Arabidopsis thaliana: one gene and its partners. The protein of the gene in region 2 purifies or fractionates together with the protein of the main gene of each other region. This does not show direct contact. Each region holds a gene or a part of one and is shown on either strand. Other genes may lie near its edges.

The links. Proteins that work in one complex are often made in the same cells at the same time.
Region 1: the proteins of PBB1 (region 2) and Cpn60beta3 fractionate together in Arabidopsis thaliana (co-fractionation; one large-scale study listed by BioGRID). This does not show direct contact.
Region 3: the proteins of PBB1 (region 2) and Cpn60beta2 fractionate together in Arabidopsis thaliana (co-fractionation; one large-scale study listed by BioGRID). This does not show direct contact.

What each region holds. Positions count from the first base shown.
Region 1 is NC_003076.8:22,871,691-22,878,252, forward strand, and holds Cpn60beta3 (TCP-1/cpn60 chaperonin family protein), read left to right. Parts: upstream 1-1,977; 5' UTR 1,978-2,181; exon of another isoform or gene 2,182-2,218; intron 2,219-2,354; 5' UTR 2,355-2,367; coding exon 2,368-2,571; intron 2,572-2,646; coding exon 2,647-2,772; intron 2,773-2,860; coding exon 2,861-2,998; intron 2,999-3,087; coding exon 3,088-3,183; intron 3,184-3,271; coding exon 3,272-3,514; intron 3,515-3,602; coding exon 3,603-3,837; intron 3,838-3,937; coding exon 3,938-4,107; intron 4,108-4,184; coding exon 4,185-4,262; intron 4,263-4,349; coding exon 4,350-4,421; intron 4,422-4,501; coding exon 4,502-4,606; intron 4,607-4,706; coding exon 4,707-4,799; intron 4,800-4,878; coding exon 4,879-4,971; intron 4,972-5,047; coding exon 5,048-5,174; intron 5,175-5,262; coding exon 5,263-5,276; 3' UTR 5,277-5,717; downstream 5,718-6,562. Other genes in the region: GulLO4 (D-arabinono-1,4-lactone oxidase family protein), read left to right, coding at 1-732, 829-930, 1,015-1,730. UniProt on the Arabidopsis thaliana protein: Involved in protein assisted folding.
Region 2 is NC_003074.8:10,150,159-10,156,242, forward strand, and holds PBB1 (N-terminal nucleophile aminohydrolases (Ntn hydrolases) superfamily protein), read left to right. Parts: upstream 1-2,299; 5' UTR 2,300-2,458; intron 2,459-2,733; 5' UTR 2,734-2,751; coding exon 2,752-2,895; intron 2,896-3,392; coding exon 3,393-3,534; intron 3,535-3,666; coding exon 3,667-3,763; intron 3,764-3,839; coding exon 3,840-3,909; intron 3,910-4,004; coding exon 4,005-4,109; intron 4,110-4,189; coding exon 4,190-4,288; intron 4,289-4,617; coding exon 4,618-4,705; intron 4,706-4,817; coding exon 4,818-4,894; 3' UTR 4,895-5,289; downstream 5,290-6,084. Other genes in the region: AT3G27425 (ECA1-like gametogenesis related family protein), read left to right, coding at 900-1,217; UKL5 (uridine kinase-like 5), read left to right, coding at 5,397-5,493, 5,570-5,661, 5,740-5,809, 5,895-6,010. UniProt on the Arabidopsis thaliana protein: The proteasome is a multicatalytic proteinase complex which is characterized by its ability to cleave peptides with Arg, Phe, Tyr, Leu, and Glu adjacent to the leaving group at neutral or slightly basic pH.
Region 3 is NC_003074.8:4,387,290-4,393,860, forward strand, and holds Cpn60beta2 (TCP-1/cpn60 chaperonin family protein), read left to right. Parts: upstream 1-1,925; 5' UTR 1,926-2,075; intron 2,076-2,379; 5' UTR 2,380-2,395; coding exon 2,396-2,599; intron 2,600-2,681; coding exon 2,682-2,807; intron 2,808-2,891; coding exon 2,892-3,029; intron 3,030-3,110; coding exon 3,111-3,206; intron 3,207-3,297; coding exon 3,298-3,540; intron 3,541-3,613; coding exon 3,614-3,848; intron 3,849-3,965; coding exon 3,966-4,135; intron 4,136-4,227; coding exon 4,228-4,305; intron 4,306-4,396; coding exon 4,397-4,468; intron 4,469-4,552; coding exon 4,553-4,657; intron 4,658-4,738; coding exon 4,739-4,831; intron 4,832-4,914; coding exon 4,915-5,007; intron 5,008-5,098; coding exon 5,099-5,222; intron 5,223-5,321; coding exon 5,322-5,335; 3' UTR 5,336-5,726; downstream 5,727-6,571. Other genes in the region: ECT2 (evolutionarily conserved C-terminal region 2), read right to left, coding at 1-59, 142-212, 308-455, 546-622, 904-931; AT3G13480 (nuclear polyadenylated RNA-binding protein), read right to left, coding at 5,895-5,952, 6,099-6,559.

The sequences.
Region 1 (6,562 bases), on a different chromosome or scaffold from region 2:
TGGTCTCTATAGTGGCTGCAGCCACTAGAGCCGGCCAAAAAATGCGGGTCGTGACTAGGTACTCTCACAGCTTCCCCAAGCTGGTTTGTACTGATGGTAAAGACGGGACTCTCATAAGCACCAAGTTTCTAAACCATGTGGTGACCACCAACCCGGAGGCCAAGACTTTGACGGTTGAGAGCGGCGTGACTCTAAGGCAACTGATCGAAGAAGCAGCTAAGTTTGATCTGGCTTTGCCATACGCACCGTATTGGTGGGGACTTACGGTTGGAGGAATGATGGGGACAGGTGCTCACGGAAGTTCTTTATGGGGTAAAGGAAGTGCGGTTCATGATTACGTGACCGAGATAAGATTGGTGAGTCCCGGTTTGGCTTCTGATGGGTATGTAAAGGTTCAGGTTCTTAGCGAGACTATAGATCCGGAGGAATTTCGCGCAGCCAAAGTTTCTCTAGGTGTTCTTGGTGTTATCTCTCAAGTAACTTTCGAATTGCAACCAATGTTCAAAAGATCGTTAAATTATGTTATGAGAAACGATTCGGATTTCGGAGATCAAGCAGTGAGTTTTGGCGAAAGACACGAGTTTGCGGATTTCTTATGGTTACCGAGCCAAGGAAAAGTGGTGTATCGCATGGATGGCCGAGTTCCGCTTAATACTTCGGGAGATGGCTTGTTCGAATTTTTCCCATTCCGTTCACAACTCTCTTTAGTGTTAGCCATAGATAGATCCTTAGGTAAATCTTTATTTCTCAAGATAATTAATACCAATATTTTTGATTTGCATAGCTATAATGTTTCTTATATATATACTTTTGCTTCATGTCATGCAGAGGAGAGTGAAGAGTCACTTGAAGATGCAAACATGAAGTGTGTGAGGGCAAAGCTAGTATCGTCGTCTATGTTTTTAATGTCATACGGTGTGACTAATAACGGTATTTCTTTTACTTGCTTATACATTTGTTGATTGTTTCGATATAAGATTATACAAAACTTTCACTAGTAATTTCCATGGACAGGCCTAATATTCACAGGCTATCCGGTCATCGGAATGCAAAACCATATGATGTCGTCAGGTTCATGTCTAGACAGTCGTCAAGACGGACTAATCACGGCTTGTCCATGGGATCCACGGATAAAAGGCCAATTCTTTCACCAAACAACATTCAGTGTTTCTCTCACAAATGTCAAAAGTTTCATCAACGACATCAAAGCACTTGTGAAGATCGAACCGAAATCTTTATGCGTACTTGAAGGCAGCAACGGTATTCTCATCCGCTATGTCACATCCTCTCTAGCATTTCTCGGAAAAGAAGAAAAAGCTTTAGATTTTGACCTAACTTACTACAGAAGCAAAAATGATCCATTGGCACCGCGTCTATACGAGGATTACATTGAAGAAATCGAGCAAATGGCGATATTCAAATACAATGCGTTACCACATTGGGGGAAGAATAGGAACCTAGCGTTTGATGGTGCCATTAGAAAATACAAGAACGCAAACGCGTTTTTAAAAGTAAAAGAGAAATTTGATTCTTTAGGATTGTTTTCCACTGAATGGACTGATCAGATTCTAGGTTTAAAAGGAAACGTGACGATTGTGAAACAAGGATGTGCATTGGAGGGACTATGTATTTGTTCAGAGGATTCTCATTGTGCTCCTACCAAAGGTTATTTATGTAGACCAGGTAAAGTTTATAGAGAAGCTAGAGTTTGTACTCGTGTAAGTTCCTAAATCCTAATCAAAGTTTTGGTCCTCAGTTCTGTTATATATCAAAAACCTCATTCCTCTCTCTGCTTTAAGAGAACAGAGCAGTCTCTGTTCATAATTGACAAGCGAAAACGACGTTGTATTGAATTCGTGACACGTGTCAAACAATGAGTAGTTAATCAAAGTGTCACTCGCACGTGAAGAGAGTAGAGTAGGTGGGTTTAGGGTTTAAGTGTTCCAGATTCTTCCAAATTCAGTTGATCCAACGGCTCAGACTTAACCTGAAACCTTTGAAGACGCGATCCTCGAACTTCACCAGTCCGTTTGCACTATGCAACCAAACACACTTTGTATCGAATAAATTAAACAAAAATCATAACTTTACAATCGCATAAATCGACTTTCATCTTCTTCACAAGAAAACCTCTCTCAGTCGCTAAAACCCTTGAACCATCTCTTGATCGCTAGCTTCTAAGTAAGTGTATAGTTGAATCATTTCGATCAAAGTTTAGGTAAAAAGTTGTTTGCTTTCAGATACCCTTGTTTTGATTTGTGTCGATGATTACAAAGTTTTACTTTGATTTGTGTCTTTAGGGTTTATTAGATTCATTCAAGCTATAAAGTTTTGATTTTGATCTGTTTTTGCAGAGAGTGAAAAACCATGGCATCAACCTTTAGCGCAACGTCGTCAATGGGTTCATCTTTGGCTCCTCCTTCGAATCGATTGTCATCTTTTGTTTCGATCTCATCAAGCTCTTTTGGAAGGACTCAGAGTATTGCTCAGAGGAAAGCAAGGTTTCCTAAAATATATGCGGCTAAGCAATTGCATTTCAATAAGGACGGGACTGCGATTAAGAAGCTTCAAGTGAGTCTATTCTATTTCGGTGATTTTGTGACTTCTAGTTCTTTATTGAATAACTTATATCATTTCATTATGTAGGCTGGTGTGAATAAACTTGCGGATTTAGTTGGGGTTACTTTAGGTCCTAAAGGCAGGAATGTTGTTCTAGAGAGCAAATACGGTTCCCCTAGAATCGTTAATGATGGTGTTACGGTCGCTAGAGAGGTAACGGTGTTATCTCTTGTTGTGTCTAATGTGTAATCAGGTGTGAAATCGATTTGTAGATTTTGAAAAGCTTTTGCTGTTTGTTTAGGTTGAGCTTGAGGATCCAGTTGAGAACATTGGTGCTAAGCTAGTGAGACAAGCTGCTTCCAAGACTAATGACTTAGCTGGTGATGGAACAACGACTTCTGTTGTTCTTGCTCAAGGTCTTATTGCTGAAGGTGTAAAGGTTTGTAATTTATTGTCTTTCTTTTGTGAATTTGAAACAACCAGTGTTTTTTGTTGTTGTTGTGATATGATGTGGATTGAATTGTGTAGGTGGTAGCTGCTGGTGCAAATCCTGTTTTGATTACCAGAGGTATTGAGAAAACCACCAAAGCTCTTGTGGCTGAGTTGAAGAAAATGTCAAAGGAGGTATTGTTGACTTAATTAGATTCTTAATCTAGCTCTTTTCATGTGCTTTAGAGGATTCTTGATCATGTAGCTCTTTTCTGGATTGCAGGTTGAAGACAGTGAACTAGCAGATGTTGCAGCAGTTAGTGCAGGAAACAATTACGAAGTAGGCAATATGATTGCAGAAGCAATGGCAAAAGTTGGTCGTAAAGGTGTTGTCACTCTAGAGGAAGGCAAAAGCGCTGAGAACAGCCTTTACGTTGTTGAAGGAATGCAATTTGATCGTGGTTATATCTCTCCTTACTTTGTCACCGACAGTGAGAAAATGTGTGCAGAATATGAGAACTGCAAGGTATTATTATTGTTTATACAGTTAAATCTTAATAGCTGATAAAAAACCGCAGTATTTTTTGACTATATGTCTCTTCTTGCTTTTGTAGTTGTTTCTTGTTGACAAAAAGATAACAAATGCTAGAGATATTATTAGCATTCTGGAAGATGCGATTAAAGGTGGATACCCGCTTTTGATCATTGCTGAAGATATTGAGCAAGAGCCATTAGCGACTCTTGTTGTTAACAAGCTTCGTGGGACAATAAAAGTTGCTGCTTTGAAAGCTCCTGGATTTGGAGAGAGGAAAAGCCAGTACCTTGATGACATTGCTGCGCTTACAGGAGGTTAGACCAATATACTAAGTGTTCTTTACATTATTGCTTCTATATTAAAAAAAAGCATGTTTAGTTTCTCAAGTTGCTGTGTTTGTTTTTCTCTTTGTAGCTACTGTGATTAGGGAAGAAGTTGGACTTCAGTTGGAGAAAGTTGGACCAGAAGTTTTGGGTAATGCTGGTAAAGTGGTTCTCACAAAAGATACTACAACGATAGTTGGTGATGGAAGTACTGAAGAAGTTGTGAAGAAGAGAGTTGAACAGATCAAGAATCTTATCGAGGTACATCTCAAAAAACATTGAAATGTCCCAATAAATTGGTTTTATGTTACGGTGATTAAGTCTTTGGGTTTGTGTAGGCTGCTGAACAAGACTATGAAAAGGAAAAGCTTAATGAGAGAATTGCTAAATTATCAGGCGGTGTTGCTGTAATTCAGGTGAGATACTAAGAAACAAATCACATGATGCAAAAAGCGTAGCTTAAGGTAATAAGAAGAATAATCTAAACGTTTTATATTCTTTAGGTTGGAGCACAAACTGAGACAGAGCTTAAGGAGAAGAAATTAAGAGTTGAAGATGCTCTTAATGCTACAAAGGTAACATCATCTCTAAGCAAAGAGCCTTGAAATGTTTCCATCCATATGGTAGAGACTAAGTTGTTGGACCTTTTAATTAGGCTGCTGTGGAAGAAGGTATTGTTGTTGGCGGAGGATGTACTCTGCTAAGACTTGCATCGAAAGTGGACGCTATTAAAGAGACTCTAGCAAACGATGAAGAAAAGGTTAGTCCAGAAGAGTTGCACAGCAGAGAAAGATAACATGAATGAGGAGTTTGCCGTCTGCGGGTTATAACGCCATTTTACAATTCATCTTAACCTCCAGGTTGGAGCTGACATTGTTAAGAAAGCATTGAGCTACCCACTGAAGTTAATCGCCAAGAACGCTGGTGTCAATGGCAGCGTTGTCAGTGAGAAGGTAATCAATCTCCTTAAAAGAATGCAAGTTTGAGTCTTTTGATATAGAAACTAAGTCAATGGCTTTTTTCGGTTGACAGGTTCTTTCTAGTGACAACCCTAAACATGGTTACAATGCTGCAACTGGCAAATACGAAGATCTCATGGCTGCAGGAATCATTGATCCAACCAAAGTGAGCAAAGTTCCTTACTTTTTCACATATTGAAATCTGCTGTTTCGGGTGCTAACCGAGTTTTCTTCTTTTCAAGGTTGTGAGATGTTGCCTAGAGCATGCTTCATCTGTGGCAAAGACATTCTTGATGTCTGATTGTGTTGTTGTGGAGATCAAGGAGCCTGAATCAGCAGCTCCTGCTGGTAACCCTATGGACAATTCAGGTATCTCTTAGTTCTTCTTCTTGAATCCTCTGAATCATTAACAAAATCTGCAACTTTATTCTTACAAAATTTCTCTGTCGGTTTTCAGGTTACGGCTTCTAAGTTGGCAATTGAGAACAGAGTAGTCCCTGATGAAGCAAAAGCCACGACCAAGTTCTTCACTTCCTGATCTGAAACTTCTTTAAGCCAATGTAAATTATATGTTTTTCCAGTGACCTGAAGAAACATATAATTTGGTTCTGTGTTCTCCGATTCAAGATCAAGTTTTTCAATATGACAACTTCACTAAAGAGACACAGTTTGCAGTGCTCAATAGACTTGATTTAGTTAGTATCATTTTCTTTATTTCAAATTAAAACGAACGAGGATATGCACAAAATCATGAGCAGCAACAAGCCAACAACCAAGCACAATACTAAATTACTACTTTGTTTGTGGTTTTTTGTGGCCTCCATAGCCAATATCTTGATACTTTAAAATTGTAATCTATTTAATTAGTTCAACAATTCTCTTTACCTGAGCATAGACTATGACATAATGTGGAGTATATTGTCTATTACTTTAAAACTTTAAAATGTTCCCCAAACATTAATTAAAAAGACTACCAAGTAAACATCTGTAAAGCTGAGAAGTTTTTTTCATTTTGTATGATCTATACTAAATTTAACAGAACTATTATTGATGATATGTTTTTATATATATGAAATTTGGAGAATTTGTAAAAATCAACCATTTCTAGTGCTTATACTAACAATCCACATCATAATCTTTATTTCTTGTTCGTTCATCGATCTTTTTTTTTTATAAAACCACATTAGTTGAGTTTCAGAGTTGTCAGCAAACTGAAGAAAGATAGTAAAGTAAGTGATCTTCCTAGTAATTTCTTTACAACTTTTTGGTTTATTCTTCAATATATACAAAGTAATAATCGAGGAGAGAAATTTTCTAAGAGCATTTTCAAAGTCAATCTTACTTTAAAAGCTTCGAGTGGGTTCCACTATAACTCTGAGTCTCTGACACACACTCTTTCGTAACCTTTTGTTGTTTTTTCGGGTTTGTTCATAACTTTTTTTTTGTAAACCAAATTTAGAGTTTTAAAGTTGATGATGAACCTACGCAAACGCAAGAGATAGCTACTTAGTTGTCTTCCTTGAAATTTCCTTACTAACTTTTGTTTTCTTGTTCAACCTACCAAAAAGATTTGATGGGAAAAAAAATTATACACTTTTAAGAGCATTTTCAAAGTTAATCATACTTTAAAAACTGCAAGTAAAGTTATACTAGTTTTGCAAAGACATGAAACGATTCTAGCCACATATTTTCTTCTATTTAAACGAATTTAATCGTTAGTGTGAATTATAGGACATATCTATTGCAGATCCTAGAGC
Region 2 (6,084 bases):
GACTGGGATGTTGAGATGGTGTGATGGGCTAAACCGGTTTAATATATTTCCTACTTTTTTTGTTTTCCTGATTAGTCCGGTTAAGCCGTGTAGTAGTTGGTCTTACATGGACGGTTAACAAATGAAAATCGGTTCTGATTTGGTAAGACTTTGTCCTTCGTCCCATGAAGATTTCTCTAACAAAAAATCATTGACCACATCATGACATGAATCCAAAGAAAACACATAGTTTGCTAATGTGTCTGTTAGACGATTAATCTCTTTAGATAGTGTGTATCAATTTCATTATTTTTGTTTTAATCGTCTGTCATTGTATCAGTTTCGGTTAGAAACTAAGATAGGGAAAATATTTCTCGTCCTATAAGATGTTTTACCTAAGCACAAAAAATCATTAAAACGGTATTCAAGACTTTTAAATAAATCAAACAAAAACAAATTTTGATTTCAAAGTAAAACGAAAAAAAAAATCGTAACATGAAAAAAAAAGATATTTTTATTTTATTTTATTTGGAAATAAAATCTGAATAATTATTTTATGACAGTCAATAAAAAGCTATGAAATATTTCTAGAGCTTTACTAATGGGGGAAGTTTGAACTAGCTGCTTGATATTAATATAATAATTTGATTATCAACAAAAAAGTTATATTTAAGAATTAAGATTGATATATGTTAAACTTTTGGTAATTTTGTTCTAAAACCAATATTCTTTGGTTGACTTGACTATTTTATTAATATATTAGTATAAATTGAGAATGTGAATCTCCTTTCCAAACTATTCTTATAGGTTTTCTATATATATAATTTCCTACATAGCATCTAACAGATCCCCGAAAAAAGATCTCAACTACATACAATACCAACCCACAACAAAAATTTGCTTTTTCGATCTTCTCAAAAATGAAACTAAAACAAACCAAAGTGATGTTTTTCTTGTTAGTCCTAATCTCTGCATTAATATTGCAACAATCGAAAGCTCAGAAAAATTATTGTTCGAGAACCAACATAGACTATATACCGGGATGTTTCCATGCGTTGCAATTAGCGTATAACAAAGATTATAGTCTCCTAACAAGAAATTGTTGCAGAGCAGTGTTTTCACTTCCTACTACTTGTGCCTTGCTTGTCTATCCTGGCAAAACTTACCCTATTACTACCTTTAGATTAATTTGTATTTATAGCGATCCTCTTCCAGCAATGTCTCCATTAAGTCTATAAGTTTTGTTTATCTCTTAATAATAATATAATAATAAAAATCATATTTACATTATAATTTTTTAACTTTGTTCAAGTTACACATAAAATCCCTAACTCTCTATACGTGTTGAATGTTTGAGGTCTCATATTTATCTTACTCTTTCGGTTTTCAAAAGGATATCAACATAAATGTAAATATGTAATCATTCCTCATTTGTTGGAAATTAATTTATAAATTTTGATTTCAAAAATCAACTAATCCATTTGTAAACTATGTAAAATATTTATCAATTATATTATTATTTTTGCCACCTTAGAAATATATGTTAACATTTGTGTAGTTAAAAGAAATCCCCAAATTAAATCATGTTTTGACTCACACTTATAATATTATCGGATTTCATAAATAAATGGATAAACCATGTAAAAGATGAAATAACATACGATAAAAAATGATCTTAGTCAAAACATATGAAAGCCGATAATAATAATGACATTTATTGGAAATTCAAGTCTAAAAATAAATAATAATAATAATAACAACATACGAGATGAGATCGAGATAATATAGTATATAATAAATTAAATATAAATTACTAATAATAATGACATTTCTTACAAATTCAATAAGTGTTTGTTTTTACTCATGAGTGTTTTTAACCCATTTATACTCTTATATTTTCATAAATAACCTACTTGTTATCACCATATTACACCAGTTAATATATTTGTAAAATTTTGAAAAAGATTGTATATATCAATCTCTATACATGACTCATAAGGTTAACATTTAACATCGTTTAATTGTTTTGGAAGGTAGATTTAAATCCACCAACAATTCAAGGATGTGAAGAATTTTTAGATCAAATATATATTTAAATGTACAAGTGTTTTTTTCTAACAAAAAAAATTTGAGGTATTGAACGGATGGGTAATTTTCGGGTGTTTTTGCCGTGTTATTGTAGCCGTCGATTAGTTGGGATGTATACTTATTGGGCCTAAGAAGCTTAATACCTTAATTGTACAATCGGATGGATATATAAATGGGCTCAACAACAAGGAAAAAGGCCCATTTAAACCTAAGAGTTCAAGCTCTATTTGTAGAAAGACCAAAGTATCCCTAGATGTTTAAGTATGTCCTCTGTGTCTCTAAAGGTTAATTGGGGAAGAAGAAAACTCTCCTTCTTTTTGTAACTTTTGCTTCACCTCTCTCTTCTTCTCTTGTTCTATTTTTTTTCCCGATTCAAGCAAAATTCATCAAGGTAAATTTACTCTTCTTCTCAAGCTGAGTTTTTTTGAATTGTTGGTATCTTCCTTCATCACTCTCGCACTTCTCTTCTTGAAGTCTCTCTTGCTCGATTCGATTCTACGGTTTCTCTCGATCCGAGGGTTTTTGATTGAACTTTTATTGGTCTCTTTGATATTGAAGAAATTATTCAACCCTAATCTCAAATTGCTTCAGAAGATTTCGGGAAACTAGTTTATTCTTATGGGTAATCGTTTTGATGCTAAAGTACTTAACTTTTTGTGATTGTAGACTTGTCAATTTGAAAAAATGTCGCAATCAACCGTAGATGTTCCGCCAAAGGGTGGGTTTAGCTTCGATCTGTGTAAGAGAAATGATATGCTTACACAAAAGGGTCTTAAAGCTCCGTCTTTTTTGAAGACTGGAACAACCATTGTTGGTTTGATTTTCAAGGTATGGTTTTTTATTCTCTCACATTAGTTTCTTGTCCATAGATTGCATAGAGTAATAGTTTCATGGGAACTGTTTTTGTTCTTAGTCAGCTGAGAACTAAGTTTTGTATTGTGGAAGTTAAAATTAGATCTTTTTAGAATTGGTTAGTCAAGAAGTTGAGGCCTAAGACTGAGTCGCAGGCACATTGATTAGATTGCTCTACTATAATGTGATTGTTTACTTGTGTCTGTTAAACTCTTTAGGGTCGTTATTGACGAGCACTTTCAGTTTCGCATGATAGATCCTTGTATGAGTTTCATCTAAAGTAGGTTTTGCTTAGTGATAATGTGGTGGTTCTTATCGTTAGCTCTTGTCTCTCCGTATAGTTTAGAACATAGTATCTAGACGTGTAAGATGTTTGAGTTCTTGTGTTCTAATTGTTGTCTTTTGATTGCTTTTTTTAGTAAATTATTGTGGAAGCTGTGTAATATTGATTTTGATATTCGGGCTTTGTATAGGATGGTGTGATACTAGGGGCAGATACCCGAGCAACTGAGGGGCCAATTGTTGCTGATAAGAACTGTGAGAAGATTCACTATATGGCACCAAACATATATTGCTGTGGTGCAGGAACTGCGGCTGATACTGAAGCAGTCACTGGTATATATACTTTCTACCTTCAGTGGGGCAGATTTTGTTTTCTCTGTCAAAGAAATCAGAATCTAACTGGCATAATGCATCACTTCATAGAAATTGATGCTTAGTTATCTTGGTTTCTTTCTTATTGTCCAGATATGGTCAGCTCACAGCTGCGATTGCATCGTTACCAGACTGGTCGAGACTCTCGGGTCATTACTGCTTTGACCCTTCTCAAAAAACATCTTTTCAGGTAAATTTGTTCTTTCTCCTCCAGAAACTCGTCTTAAAGAAACATAGATGATTTAACTGCCTAAGATTCATTTCAGCTACCAAGGTCATGTCTCTGCTGCTCTTGTACTCGGTGGAGTTGATATCACTGGTCCACATCTGCATACTGTAAGTTATACATCCCCGACAGTATACTGAGAAGAGATTTTTTTGTTTGTTTGTTGTTATTCATATCATATTTGACCTGTTTATTTTATAAACAGATATACCCACACGGTTCAACTGACACTCTTCCATTCGCCACAATGGGTTCGGGTTCTCTTGCTGCTATGTCTGTGTTTGAGGCAAAGTATAAAGAAGGCCTAACTGTAAGTAAGCCATTCACGTTTCAATATCCAGAGACGTTATTTTCATCTGTCTGATTATTCTTGTTTACAAAATCCTCTAGAGGGATGAAGGAATTAAGCTGGTCGCTGAATCCATATGCTCGGGTATATTCAATGACCTGGGTAGTGGTAGCAACGTGGACATCTGCGTGATCACAAAGGTTTGTCTTCACCCTACTTTAACCTGTACCTTTGATTAATCCACAAATCTACCTTTGGTCAGCATGTTAGACTCATAGTTTATCATCTCATAGACATAACAGTGACCAAGTAAATCGCCATCAAACCTCACAAAACCCAACTCTTAGCATTGCCATTAAATAAAAGTAAAACAACCTCTCCATTTGGTTTAATGCAATCCTAGACCTCAGTTCTGCATGTACATATTAAGCTGACCCAAGTTATTCACCACCAGATCAAACTCTTTTGCATTACATGTGTATGTTTTGTTGCTTTTGAGCTTATTATTGGACACAATATTGGCAAACAGGGGAACAAGGAATATCTCAGGAACTACATGGAACCAAACCCAAGAACCTATGTCAGCAGCAAAGGCTATTCCTTCACCAAGAAAACTGGTAAGTTACTCTCAAACACACAACAAAGAAACTTGCATCGCCGCCCTCGCCTTTAGCTAGTCGAAATCCTCAGTTTTTCTCACTTCATTTTTGTTGATTTATTGTGTAACAGAGGTTCTTCTCACCAAAATCACCCCATTGCTGGAGCGAGTCGAAATCACAGAAGTTGGTGAAGCTATGGAGGAATAATTCAATCAATCTCATATATCTTCTTTTGCATTGATCTACATCAAGGCTCTGTGTACTCTCATGATCTCATCTTCCCAGTCTTGTCTTCTTCCCATGTTTAAGGATCATTCAAATCTTGTTACTCCTCTCTCTCCTTCTTAGATTTCAATAGAGAGGGTCAGACTCGAGAGACTTCGTCCTTTCGAAATAAAAAAACAACTTTCCCTAAATTATTATTGGTTTGTGCAAACCGAATTGAATTGTACAAGCTGTTTAACCAAATCTCCTAATACGACGTCGCTTTTTGTCTCAGGATGACGTGTTTTTGTTGCCGCTAATTTCTCTACACGCGAGTATATACATATATAGGAAATAGAGATACGAATTTATCATATAAGACGTTACTATAGAGCGACACTTATCTTTTATTTTTATTTTTCTTCAGATTTGTTTTTTTGTTTCTTCTTCTTTGATTTATCTGAGTAAAAGCTTTTTAAAAACTAACATAGGATTGAAGAAGACGATGGAGAAATTATCTAATGGCGTTAGAGATCACTGTTTGATCAGTGACTATGTTTCTCCTTCAGCTCCTGCTCCTCTTAAACAACCTTTCGTGATCGGTACGTTTTTCATTGATTTCTCAAATGATTCAAAATCTGATTTTCTCTGATTCCGTCAACGATCTGCTTATATCAGGTGTTGCCGGAGGAACCGCCTCCGGGAAGACGACGGTTTGCAATATGATCATGTCTCAGTTACATGATCAACGTGTTGTCCTTGTTAACCAAGTAATTATTAAACTCATAATCTGTTTTTTCATCAAAATCGTTGTGAGATATGTACGTAAGACGACTCAATAATTGCAGGATTCGTTTTACCACTCGCTTACTAAGGAGAAATTGAACAAGGTTCATGAATATAACTTCGATCATCCTGGTGAGGAAAATCAATTATGATGATTTGATCTAAGGAACGATTCAAATTTTGTTCTTAAGAATCTTTGTTTTGTTTTTGATACAAGATGCATTCAACACTGAGGTTTTACTTTCATGTATGGAGAAGTTACGATCTGGACAACCAGTGAACATTCCGAGTTACGATTTCAAAATCCATCAGAGCATTGAATCATCAAGTCCGGTACTATTAGTTTTTGCTTGCAGAGACTCAGAAAACACCATTAGTTATTGATTAGCAACACTAATTACAATGTC
Region 3 (6,571 bases), 5.8 Mb from region 2:
TACGCTGCATACCCATAACCCTGAGGATACACAACAGTCCCATTCTCTCCATAAATTCCCTGGTAAAATATTGAACCTGTTAAGCAAAGAAAATATAAAGACGATGAAAGGCACTATTATAACTAGTCAGCACACACTTACAGAATTCATGTCAACACCCTCAGGATTTGTGTAAGCTGGGTAGTCAGTCCACTCTTGACCACTCCCATATACTGAAAAGTTACAAAACGAAAAACTTGTTAAACCAGTGGTGACAATTTAGTGAAATAATGTTTCTAGATTGTAAATGATTTGAGGATGAAGCTACCATTGTAATACTGGTAGGGATTGTAAGGATTAGGAACATAGCAAACTGAAGGGTCAGCAGCATCACTGGGAAGCATTGGTGTCAAAGATCGATCATAAGAAGGAACTTGACCATGAACATCAACGCCTCCATACTGGTAGACGGCAGTCTACACAAGACACAAAACAAAAGCGTTAAAAAAAACTGGAAGAAGCAAAAGTTGTGACAACAGAAAACCAAAATTCAATCTGCAAATCACCTTCTTGTTAGGCTCAGGGATCTCTGAAGCTTTTGCTGGCGAGTCCAAGGATAGTTTCTGCAACAGATCTGTAGCTTCTACAAACAAGGTGAGTCAAGGAAGCAAAGAATTACACAATTAACCATTAGAATAGTGGAAAGCAAACATTCTCAAATCAATCAAACTCGCCACAAATGAATCGATTTGAATCAATATAGAAACCTAACAATCGAGAAATATATTGAGAAACCCGAAACTGAATCTAGGCAATATCAAATATATCTGAACAAGACTCAAAATCAGCTCACTGGATTCAAGATCCAACAGATTCAAGATCGAGAAATCAAAACACAGATCGAGAAACATAAAGAAAGGATACGATCAGCAGGAGGAGCAACGGTAGCCATGAGAGGAGATTCGACAAACAAAGATTTGGATAGATCCTTCTCGGATAAAAGGGGATGCGACCAAAGAGAAAGAAGAAGAAGAAGAAAAAAAAGAAGATAGAGAAACCCTAAATGGAATCAGGAAAAACCCAGATCAAATCTAGGGTTTAAGAGATAGAATAGAAGAGAGAAAGAAGAAAAAAATGGCCGCAGCCGCCAAGAAGGAGAAGGGTTTTGCTTCGGGGAAGAGGAAAAAAAGGGTTTTGTCTCTCTACCTCTCCCTCTGATTCAAATAGATCCACTAATCAACCACCTCACCTTCTCTCTTTTTTTTTTCTTTCTTTTTTTTTTTTTTTCTTCCACCTTAAGATATTTCCTCTTTTGTTTTAAAAGAAGACTATAGACCGTGTGGTTTTGGTTATTTTTCCTGCAAAATCTGGATAATATACTTTTCCATTTTCTTAAAATTGGTAATCTTGTAATAAAATAGATATAAATCTCAATTCTGTTACCAAAATATAATTCAAAAGTAAATTTGGTCAAATTTAAAAGCAAAAGAGGGCATGCTTTCTATTATAGGTGTGTTTCTTCTATAAATTTACCCCAATATACATTGAAATATCTTTAAAAATATATATTAAACTTTTTTGTTTTGAGCAACTATTTAAAAACTAAAAGCAAATCATTAAGATAAAACCAAAGAAAGTAAAATCTATTTTTCAGAGAAACTTACCAAAACTAGCTATTCAAGAAAATATACTTTACCTTTAGGATAAAAGGAAGTAAATTACCTTAGCTTAAAAAAGCTATTATTAAATAAAAACATTTTAAGATCGAGAGTATGTAATGGGCCTATTTGATTAAAGATTCATAAACAGGCCCAAATCACCAAACAAGGCCACCGGAAATAAACCCATGATCCGATTACCCATCCGACGTTCTAGAGAGTTCTAATGAGAAAACAATGAAGAGTACATCCAACGGCTAAGATTAGCTCGAAGTTTCAAGAGCTAAAGGCTCATATCGCCTTTATATTCAAAGAAAAAATTATCAGTAGCAAGTGCATTCTTCATTTCGTCATTGGAGAAACCTACTTCTTCCTCCTTATCCGGAATAAACCTCTTCGGCGCCATCTCTCTCCTCACCTCCGTCGTTCCACCGTCCGGTGAGTGTCACTTTTCCCATCAATTGAGCTCACAATGTTGGCGCCTATGTAATTGTGTGTGTCGATTGATTGTTTTGTTAGAATTGGAATTAACAAGTATTACTAGTAGCTGAGAAAAAGTATGTTACCTTGTTTTCGTGTTCCCGGAGATTTGTGGCTATTGGTGTAGTTGTGGTTTTGAGTATTTGGGGATTGAGCTCTGATTTTGAAATTCATCTGTTTTTTGTTTTTTGTTGCCAGTTTTAATTGGTTAGTACTTTTGGTGAATCTTTCGTTTTATGTGAACTGTTGGATTGATTTTCAGTGTTTGAGAAGTGAAAATGGCATCGACATTCACTGCCACGTCTTCCCTTGGTTCGTTGCTTGCTCCCAATGCTATCAAGTTGTCTTCTGCGACTAGCATCTCTTCAAGCTCGTTTGGAAGGAGACATAACGTGTGCGTCAGAAGATCCCGTCCTGCCATAGTATGTGCAGCCAAGGAGTTGCATTTCAATAAGGATGGGACTACCATAAGGAAACTTCAGGTGAGAATTAATGAATTGATTTTCTGGAGTAATGATTAGGATTCGTTTTATTTTTGGTTTCTGATTACTCGTTTGTTATTAGACTGGTGTTAACAAGCTCGCGGACCTTGTTGGTGTCACACTTGGACCAAAAGGGAGAAATGTTGTTCTTGAGAGCAAGTATGGATCCCCAAGAATTGTTAATGATGGTGTCACTGTTGCGAGGGAGGTATGAAATTTATTGTCTGTTTAACCAATTATGTTCCTTTCGTTTTTAATTACTTCTCTAAGCTTAAGGTTTTCTTCTGCTTAGGTCGAGTTGGAGGACCCGGTTGAGAACATTGGTGCAAAGCTTGTAAGGCAAGCAGCTGCAAAGACCAATGACTTGGCTGGTGACGGTACAACAACATCTGTTGTTCTTGCACAAGGTTTTATTGCTGAGGGTGTCAAGGTTGTTACATTCTTCTTTCAGCTTTCTCTGATTTTATACTCAGAAGAACAGTATATTAATCTGAAATTTTGTATTTTTCAGGTGGTGGCTGCAGGTGCGAACCCTGTATTGATCACTAGGGGGATTGAGAAGACTGCAAAGGCTTTGGTTAACGAGCTGAAACTTATGTCTAAGGAGGTAAGTAACTATTATGCTAAAACTTCCTTCTTCTTAATTTTTCGAGAGTCTATAGCAAGATGGTCTAAAGGTTATGTCATTGGAAATATAGGTTGAAGACAGTGAACTTGCTGATGTGGCAGCTGTTAGTGCGGGTAATAACCACGAAGTTGGAAGTATGATTGCTGAAGCAATGAGCAAAGTGGGCAGGAAGGGTGTGGTGACCCTGGAGGAGGGAAAAAGCGCTGAGAACAACCTTTATGTTGTGGAAGGAATGCAATTTGACCGTGGTTATATCTCCCCATACTTTGTGACAGACAGTGAGAAAATGTCTGTTGAGTATGACAATTGCAAGGTAATTTTTCTTTATTCTGAGCTACCAAAATGATATTGTGATGCAAATAGCCTAACAAGTTTCTACTGTGCAGTTGCTTCTTGTTGACAAGAAAGTAACCAATGCAAGGGATCTTGTTGGGGTTCTAGAGGATGCGATTAGAGGCGGATACCCAATCCTCATAATTGCAGAAGATATTGAACAAGAAGCCTTAGCTACTCTTGTTGTTAACAAGCTTAGAGGCACACTGAAGATTGCAGCTCTCAAAGCTCCTGGATTTGGAGAGCGCAAGAGCCAATACCTTGACGATATTGCCATTCTAACTGGAGGTAGGTCATGTTTTTATAACAAAAAACCTATATGTGGGTATCAATCAATGTGCCCTCCTGATTTGGAATCATTTGGCTGTTAAAACCTTACCGTGTTGCTTCTGTTTTTGTGTGCAGCAACTGTGATCAGAGAGGAAGTTGGTCTTTCTCTTGACAAAGCTGGAAAAGAGGTTCTGGGTAACGCTTCCAAGGTTGTCCTGACAAAGGAAATGACAACAATTGTGGGTGATGGGACCACACAAGAAGCAGTGAACAAGCGTGTTGTACAGATTAGGAATCTTATTGAGGTATATGTTTGAGTCAAACCGCATAAGAGTCTGTGACAGCTACTTTTTTTTGTATAAAGTTTGTTTATGCTAATACAACTGCGGTTGTGCAGCAAGCGGAGCAAGACTACGAGAAGGAAAAATTAAATGAGAGAATTGCGAAGCTCTCTGGTGGAGTTGCTGTAATTCAGGTAAAATAGTAATCACATGGACTTTCTTGGATTTGTATGATAGAAGAATAAGTTAAGTGATCTAATTAAAGTTTTTACATCTTGGTTAAAGGTTGGAGCTCAAACTGAGACAGAGCTCAAAGAAAAGAAGCTGAGAGTGGAAGATGCTCTTAATGCTACAAAGGTGATTTTCTTTATCCAGCTGATGGGGTTATAGGTATCGTGCTACTCATGTATATCTTAATTATATGACCTCATTGAGTTTCAGGCTGCTGTTGAGGAAGGTATTGTCGTTGGTGGTGGTTGCACTCTGCTCCGGCTTGCATCAAAGGTCGATGCCATCAAGGATACCCTTGAAAATGATGAAGAAAAGGTGATTGGCAAAATCAAGAATTTTGAAATTTTTTGCAAATTGCTTGCTCTTACTGCATTTTCAACTATTTCCCATCTCTAGGTTGGAGCGGAAATTGTTAAAAGAGCACTGAGTTACCCTCTGAAATTGATAGCTAAGAATGCTGGTGTTAATGGAAGTGTTGTCAGCGAGAAGGTTATAACAACATAAGAACATCCATGCTTATTCAGCTCTTGATCTACGTAAGTTGCTTAAAAAGCTGTATTTATTTATTGCAGGTGCTGGCTAACGATAATGTGAAATTTGGATACAATGCTGCAACCGGCAAGTATGAAGACCTGATGGCTGCAGGCATCATCGACCCGACAAAGGTCAGTTTCTCACATACACTCCCTCACTCTGTTTTGCTATCCCATCTGATCGCAAAATATCCAATGAACCTGAGTGGATTTTTGTTTTCAGGTTGTGAGATGTTGCTTAGAACATGCCGCCTCAGTTGCAAAGACGTTCTTGATGTCTGACTGTGTGGTTGTTGAGATCCCAGAGCCAGAGCCAGTTCCTGCTGGTAACCCAATGGACAACTCAGGTTAGTCCAGACCTTCTGATTCATAAAAACTGGACAGTGACATCAAAACAAAACTCATGTTTCTTCATCACTGAATCTTTCTCGATTGTCTTGTTTCAGGTTATGGATACTAAGATAGACCGACCAGGTTTGCTCGTAAAGCTGAGAGATAGGCAAAATTCCGAAGCGAGAGTAGCTCACTGGGATACGGATTCCTTTAGCTTGCAAACAAATTTTCTGTGCAAGTGTAGTGATTTTTGAACCAGAGAATAATGTGTTCACTAGATATCATATTTGAAATCATTTTGAATAACTTGTCAGTGATCTTCAAAATCTTGAGTGCTCTTAATAACACCATCTTATATACATGCTAAAGCTGAGGGAACTTAGATAGAATGCAAAAAGTGTACTTTAAATTTAAAAGCTTCTTGAATCTGACTAAGAAAGAACTTCATTAACTGGTTAAGTAAACAAGTGTAATATAAAGCAATTCTTTTAACAACTCTAAAACCGTAAACACTGAATCGACAATCGACATATAACCTCAGGTGAGCAAAAGTGGATTCTACTATATGTACCTCAATGTAGATGGATTCTAAATCCAAAGCCACAAGCTGAACAGAGCCAATTCTCAAGCAAGCTTCTTCACCCTTCACCATTGCCATATCTTCCGGTAAAACTAAGCCGAGTTGATCACAGAATAACACAAACACAGCTTTGATCGCCATCATATCTAACATCTTCTTCTTCACTGCAAATATAACAGGGATTCAGACAAATGTCAATCAACTAATTCTCAAAGTTAGCATCTTTTGAAGCCTGAATTGATCAAAGATTCAAACTTCATACCAAGAAACCTAAGAAAAACAAAGATTCAAACTTCATAGAAGACAGTACCTAGACTCGAATTCTCGGATCTCAGCAAGTTCTTTCCCCATCAAATCCACCCACTGTACTTTCTTCTTCTCCTTTCTCCCACCATCTGCTGAATCTAAGACCTCCTTCTTGAGACTGCTTTTCAAGATTTCCCCATTACTAAGACTTTCTTCTTCTTCCTTTTTTCCCTCTAGAGCACAATCTTCTTCTCTAACAACCTCAGTCAACAAACCATCAACATGATCAACAACAACTTCTTCTTCTTCTACATGTGCATCATCATCATCATTGTCATCATGGTCACGATCATCAACAACCGTAGTCGAAGAAGACACTTGAGGAAAAGTATTCTCCAATTTGAGAGAACCAGAAGCGTAGATATGAGGAGAAGGCTTACAGAAACAGATGAAAGAAGGGCACTGGATCTTACACAGCAAAACCCTCATCAAAACATATGTTGGGTCTTTAAAACACCCGATCATCAAATTCCAAAC